2 linked regions of the Saccharomyces cerevisiae S288C genome follow. The protein of the gene in region 1 interacts with the protein of each later gene in a biochemical or structural test. Each region holds a gene or a part of one and is shown in the gene's direction. Other genes may lie near its edges.

Region 1 (3,758 bases):
AGATAGTCAAAGAGGGATGATATTCGCATTGTTTCCGCACGGTATTCCACAGTTCCCAAGTGGCCAATGGATCGCTGTCTTCGTAAAGTGGCAGAGAAATGGATATGGTTAACGCAGGCGCAGCAAAGACGATGCGATTTTGCAGGAGCCTGTAAATCATCTGTCCATACAATTGCAGGTTGGACAGGTCCCGTGGAGGCGCCAATATTAGCTTATTGATTCCAACAAACCTCGCGTACTTACATTCGTTTAGAAGGACCTTTAAGCCAAGATCTCTTACATTTGGATCGCGACTCTCCAGCTCCAGCCAAGAGGATAACAGCCCTATGTAAGACGGCGTATCGTCATTGTCTAGCTTCTTGACGTTGAACGGGGGTATACAGATATCCTGCAACTGCGGTTCAGGAATTTGAAGCGGTTTCCAGTTCTGTATGGATTGTCTTTGGAAATCTTTGAAAACTTGCCCAACTATTTCCTTATATCTTGGCGTTGTTATAGGAAGCAAAACGTAATCATAGTTACTAGGCAGTTCTGGTGAATGACTAGAGACATTTTCTAGGAAACGTGACTTTTTGCTGTGCTGTTTATGATTAAAGCCTGGTTTGACACCAACAAATACGTTGCTATGCATATGCAAACTGAACCCTTTGTATATATAAAAATTATATGTATAAAAGAAGAGGAACGTCCGCACAATTCCACACACACACACACACACACGCTTTCACACACGCAATTTGAAATAGCTCCTATAGGGCTTGGGAATAGGATCACAAGTCACTCGAAATATACCATTTTTTCTATCACACATACACATTGTATAAAGCCATTTGTTTCAAAAAAATATAAAAACACTGCGCAGCGTGCTGTTTCGGGTTCCATTTGTGATTGTTTATTTTTCTTTTGGTTTAGCTCAGTGCAAAACGAGGGCTCGAAGAATTTTCAGATAAAACAGTACTCGAGCCCTGAGATCTGTTTTAGGGTCTAAAAGGCGGGTTATAAAAATATGTCAGGTGATTTTTTTTTCTCGTGGTATGAGATAAATAAAGAATGGAGCTTTTATGCATGAAAGGACAGCGGATGGCAGTAGAGCAGACATCAGTAGCATTCATTACAACTCTGTCGTAAGTTCTTGGAACTGCTGGCCGCGTTGGATACAACTAGATTGACACGCACTTACTCTCGTCTTACAGTACTATGTACCATCACTATCACGCCTTCCAAGGCAGAAAGCTTACTGACCAAGAAAGAGCACGCGTGTTGGAGTTTCAAGATTCCATTCACTATTCTCCGCGGTACTCAGACGATAACTATGAGTACAGGCATGTGATGTTACCTAAGGCCATGCTAAAAGTTATCCCATCTGATTACTTCAATTCGGAAGTGGGGACCCTGCGTATATTAACAGAAGACGAATGGAGAGGCCTCGGCATCACACAGTCTTTGGGGTGGGAACATTATGAATGCCATGCGCCAGAACCACACATTTTGCTATTCAAAAGGCCGCTGAACTACGAGGCCGAGCTGAGGGCAGCGACCGCTGCTGCTCAACAGCAACAGCAACAGCAGCAACAGCAGCAACAACAACAACAGCAACATCAAACACAATCGATTTCGAACGATATGCAAGTTCCACCCCAAATCTCCTAGCTTTGATATACTCTAATTACTGAAATTGAATTCCTTTTCAAGGCTCCATAACTATATGGAGCATACTATGTACTTATCATAATAAAGAATAAACAAACAAGCAAACAAAAAAAAAAAAAACTATGGATCATAGTTTTCACCAACAAGCATTAGAATACAAATAAAATTTATATAGTGAATATCCTTCAAATAAATTTCTTCTTTCCCTTATAAATCAAATAGATGGAACGCACGCTCCAAAACTAGTCAACTAGAAAAAAATACCCGCCGACGGACAATTTTGAAGAGAGATGATTAATGAAGACAAAGTGAGGCTGGACAACAAGAACGACATACACCGCGTAAAGGCCCACAAGACTGCATGGAATCACACGTCAAATATCTTGACGAATTGATATTGGCAATAAAAGACCTGAACTCGGGGGTGGATTCAAAGGTGCAGATTAAAAAAGTGCCCACGGATCCATCTTCTTCTCAGGAGTACGCCAAGAGTTTAAAGATCCTGAACACCCTCATAAGAAACCTAAAAGATCAAAGAAGGAACAATATCATGAAAAATGATACTATATTTTCGAAAACAGTTTCCGCCCTTGCCTTATTGTTGGAGTACAACCCCTTCTTGCTTGTTATGAAGGATTCCAACGGGAACTTTGAGATACAAAGGCTGATAGATGATTTCCTCAACATATCCGTTCTGAACTATGATAATTACCACAGAATATGGTTTATGAGGCGAAAATTAGGCAGCTGGTGCAAAGCATGTGTCGAATTTTACGGAAAACCTGCTAAGTTTCAGCTTACTGCACATTTTGAGAACACCATGAATCTTTACGAACAGGCCTTGACTGAAGTCTTGTTGGGCAAGACTGAGCTTCTCAAATTTTATGACACCTTGAAGGGTCTATACATTCTTTTATACTGGTTCACTTCGGAGTATAGTACTTTTGGGAACTCTATAGCATTCTTAGATTCTTCTTTGGGGTTCACGAAATTTGACTTTAACTTCCAACGATTAATCAGGATTGTTCTTTACGTCTTTGATTCCTGCGAACTAGCAGCACTAGAATATGCCGAAATCCAACTCAAATATATTTCTCTAGTTGTGGACTATGTTTGCAATAGAACAATTTCCACAGCCCTGGATGCCCCAGCGTTAGTTTGTTGTGAACAATTAAAGTTTGTATTGACTACTATGCATCATTTTTTGGATAACAAGTATGGGCTCTTGGATAATGACCCCACTATGGCCAAAGGAATTCTTCGACTATATTCTCTTTGCATTTCTAACGATTTCTCAAAATGCTTTGTAGACCACTTCCCAATTGACCAGTGGGCAGATTTTTCACAAAGTGAACATTTTCCGTTCACGCAGTTGACTAATAAAGCTCTCTCGATTGTATATTTTGATTTGAAAAGAAGGTCCCTACCTGTTGAAGCTTTAAAGTACGATAATAAGTTCAACATCTGGGTATACCAATCGGAGCCGGACTCGAGCTTGAAAAATGTCACTTCTCCCTTTGATGATCGATATAAGCAGCTGGAAAAGCTAAGGTTGCTAGTACTAAAGAAGTTTAACAAGACAGAAAGAGGAACTTTGCTCAAATACCGCGTGAACCAGCTAAGTCCTGGATTTTTTCAAAGAGCTGGAAACGATTTCAAGCTAATTTTAAATGAAGCATCTGTATCCATTCAAACTTGTTTCAAGACAAACAATATAACAAGGCTAACATCATGGACTGTAATTCTCGGACGTCTAGCCTGTCTAGAATCAGAGAAGTTTTCCGGCACTCTGCCAAATTCCACAAAGGATATGGATAATTGGTATGTTTGTCATTTATGCGATATTGAGAAAACTGGCAACCCTTTCGTGCGAATAAATCCAAATAGACCAGAGGCTGCGGGTAAATCAGAAATCTTCAGGATACTTCATTCAAACTTTCTATCTCACCCAAATATAGATGAATTTAGCGAATCTTTGTTAAGTGGCATCTTATTTTCTCTACATAGGATATTTTCACACTTTCAACCTCCAAAACTTACAGATGGAAACGGTCAAATCAATAAGAGCTTTAAACTGGTACAAAAGTGCTTTATGAATTCTAACAGAT
Region 2 (3,758 bases), on another chromosome or scaffold:
GTACCCTGTATACGTGTATATACAATGAGATAGCATCTATAAATGGACTTTTCCTAATCAAAAGGTATTGGTTTATGATGTTTTTTATTCATCTCAGTAGCCGCAATAGCGCTCGGTAACTTTATACCACAGCAGTCTCCCCAAGTAGTATGAACATGTCCTTCAAAATTGCACTCATCATCCTTATCAGTCCCATCATGTATGTGGCCTCTTGGTGGAGATACACCATCCGGACAAGGCAAAAACTCGCTAAAGTAAAAATGTTGCATGATGGGCAATTTACTAAGGACTTCGGCTTTATACATTTTTATCATCCCTTCAGCAACTTTTGACCAAGTCTTTACACCGCTGATGTCATCTAGCATAGGAGAATGCCATCTCAAGGAGGCGGATGACTTGACCTTATTAATAAAAGCGATACAACCAAAATATAAGTACCGATGAGCGAACATTTCTACGAGCTCATTATTGTGAATTGATATCGGCTTTAAGTGCTTGTGGGTGGTTAATTGGAAGGCACCAAATAGAAATGGAAGGAAATGATAATCATCTAATCCCCAAACACCATGAGAGCCCGCAGGCTCAAGCCAATATTTAGTTTCTAGTATCCTCATTATTTTAAGGTATTCTATAAAAACTTTCAGCACGAGGTTAGTTGAATCGTTTGAAAGATTGAATATTCCATAACTATAGAGTCCATAAAGTAAACACATGAAATTTAATTCATGACCTGAACCATAATCAATTCTTCTTTTATTTCCCCATGATTCATCTAGATAAATCGATAATTGTTCCAACTGCTCATCTGTGAGAGAGGGAAATTCGGAACGTAAGATCTTCCTGGAATTCCGTGAAACTTCGTCATAAAAGTCCCTAAACTCAACCTTACCAAATCTCGAGCTATCTGCATCCTTTATTACTGGGTGCTTCTGAGTGATATCTTTTATTTGCGAAAGCAAGTTCATCATACTGTTTATTGACTCCGATATTGGTTCTTTGTACTGGGAATTCTCATGTCCTTTGACAGATTCAGCCAAATCTATAATAAATTTAGTGAAATGAGCTCTTGTTGGGGATTCTTCCCATAGTTTCATATCGTCTGGAGTCAATAGTCTCTTTTCTGGCAACATCTTTTTCTAAATATTTATATTGTTCTTTACGGATTGTTGTTTATGGACTGTTCTTTCTGCACAGGCGACTAACATAAAGTACCTCTCTCTTGTCATTGATATCCCTTTTGTTCTATCACATCCGTTAGGATTTTATTCTGTGCTTACTCACGTGAAAGAGAGGGAAGAGTGTAAAAGTTACCCGAAAATCTATTATGGCGGCTATTGTAGTACGTCCAAAACAACGTATTTCAATGTAAATTCAAAGCAAACACTGAGAAAAAACAAAAACTTACTTATTGGTTCGCTCAGCACCTACCTAAATGGTACTTTTAGAATGATACTGTATTATCTACCGTGGTATCGGCAACTATAGGACGGAGATAAAGCATGCCAAAGTAATTCTTCCTTTATTAGATGAGATTTCAGCGTGAGGTGAACCATCATTTGTTTGGTTGGTGCATTAATAGCCTGCTTCCTTTTAATTAAGCCGGAAAGTGTTTGTCACAGATGTCAATGAAACGTGCATCTATTAACATATTTATTTTCATTTCGAGGGTGAGGTGGTGTGGACGCGTTGATACGGCAACGGGAGTGACGCGTAAAATTGGCAGAAAAATCATCACCGTGGGTAGACTTGGAAATGAAAACATTTATAGAATAAAGGTACAGGTTGAGAAGATAAAGGGTACCAAAGTTACCATTTTGAAATCTCTGATCAAGAAAAGGTAAGAAAGCAGAAAAGGACGGTAGAGATTATTGGAAGACAAACTAATTTTGTATATGCATTCGATTTTCTTAAGCTTTAAAAGAGAGAATAGTGAGAAAAGATAGTGTTACACAACATCAACTAAAAATGGAAAATATTACACAACCCACACAGCAATCCACGCAGGCTACTCAAAGGTTTTTGATTGAGAAGTTTTCTCAAGAACAGATCGGCGAAAACATTGTGTGCAGGGTCATTTGTACCACGGGTCAAATTCCCATCCGAGATTTGTCAGCTGATATTTCACAAGTGCTTAAGGAAAAACGATCCATAAAGAAAGTTTGGACATTTGGTAGAAACCCAGCCTGTGACTATCATTTAGGAAACATTTCAAGACTGTCAAATAAGCATTTCCAAATACTACTAGGAGAAGACGGTAACCTTTTATTGAATGACATTTCCACTAATGGGACCTGGTTAAATGGGCAAAAAGTCGAGAAGAACAGCAATCAGTTACTGTCTCAAGGTGATGAAATAACCGTTGGTGTAGGCGTGGAATCAGATATTTTATCTCTGGTCATTTTCATAAACGACAAATTTAAGCAGTGCCTCGAGCAGAACAAAGTTGATCGCATAAGATCTAACCTGAAAAATACCTCTAAAATAGCTTCTCCTGGTCTTACATCATCTACTGCATCATCAATGGTGGCCAACAAGACTGGTATTTTTAAGGATTTTTCGATTATTGACGAAGTGGTGGGCCAGGGTGCATTTGCCACAGTAAAGAAAGCCATTGAAAGAACTACTGGGAAAACATTCGCGGTGAAGATTATAAGTAAACGCAAAGTAATAGGCAATATGGATGGTGTGACAAGAGAGTTAGAAGTATTGCAAAAGCTCAATCATCCAAGGATAGTACGATTGAAAGGATTTTATGAAGATACTGAGAGTTATTATATGGTGATGGAGTTCGTTTCTGGTGGTGACTTAATGGATTTTGTTGCTGCTCATGGTGCGGTTGGAGAAGATGCTGGGAGGGAGATATCCAGGCAGATACTCACAGCAATAAAATACATTCACTCTATGGGCATCAGCCATCGTGACCTAAAGCCCGATAATATTCTTATTGAACAAGACGATCCTGTATTGGTAAAGATAACCGACTTTGGTCTGGCAAAAGTACAAGGAAATGGGTCTTTTATGAAAACCTTCTGTGGCACTTTGGCATATGTGGCACCTGAAGTCATCAGAGGTAAAGATACATCCGTATCTCCTGATGAATACGAAGAAAGGAATGAGTACTCTTCGTTAGTGGATATGTGGTCAATGGGATGTCTTGTGTATGTTATCCTAACGGGCCACTTACCTTTTAGTGGTAGCACACAGGACCAATTATATAAACAGATTGGAAGAGGCTCATATCATGAAGGGCCCCTCAAAGATTTCCGGATATCTGAAGAAGCAAGAGATTTCATAGATTCATTGTTACAGGTGGATCCAAATAATAGGTCGACAGCTGCAAAAGCCTTGAATCATCCCTGGATCAAGATGAGTCCATTGGGCTCACAATCATATGGTGATTTTTCACAAATATCCTTATCACAATCGTTGTCGCAGCAGAAATTATTAGAAAATATGGACGATGCTCAATACGAATTTGTCAAAGCGCAAAGGAAATTACAAATGGAGCAACAACTTCAAGAACAGGATCAGGAAGACCAAGATGGAAAAATTCAAGGATTTAAAATACCCGCACACGCCCCTATTCGATATACACAGCCCAAAAGCATTGAAGCAGAAACTAGAGAACAAAAACTTTTACATTCCAATAATACTGAGAATGTCAAGAGCTCAAAGAAAAAGGGTAATGGTAGGTTTTTAACTTTAAAACCATTGCCTGACAGCATTATTCAAGAAAGCCTGGAGATTCAGCAAGGTGT

The links. The genes of interacting proteins can lie anywhere in the genome.
Region 2: of the proteins of MEC1 (region 1) and RAD53, one has a biochemical effect on the other in vitro, tested with the Saccharomyces cerevisiae proteins (10 studies listed by BioGRID).

What each region holds. Positions count from the first base shown.
Region 1 is NC_001134.8:503,657-507,414, forward strand, and holds the start of MEC1 (protein kinase MEC1), read left to right. Parts: upstream 1-2,011; coding exon 2,012-3,758. Other genes in the region: HSL7 (protein arginine N-methyltransferase), read right to left, coding at 1-631; cyclin-dependent protein kinase regulatory subunit CKS1, read left to right, coding at 1,198-1,650. UniProt on the Saccharomyces cerevisiae protein: Serine/threonine protein kinase which activates checkpoint signaling upon genotoxic stresses such as ionizing radiation (IR), ultraviolet light (UV), or DNA replication stalling, thereby acting as a DNA damage sensor.
Region 2 is NC_001148.4:262,400-266,157, reverse strand, and holds the start of RAD53 (serine/threonine/tyrosine protein kinase RAD53), read left to right. Parts: upstream 1-1,965; coding exon 1,966-3,758. Other genes in the region: peptidylprolyl isomerase RRD2, read right to left, coding at 54-1,130; YPL152W-A (uncharacterized protein), read right to left, coding at 1,458-1,556. UniProt on the Saccharomyces cerevisiae protein: Controls S-phase checkpoint as well as G1 and G2 DNA damage checkpoints. Phosphorylates proteins on serine, threonine, and tyrosine. Prevents entry into anaphase and mitotic exit after DNA damage via regulation of the Polo kinase CDC5.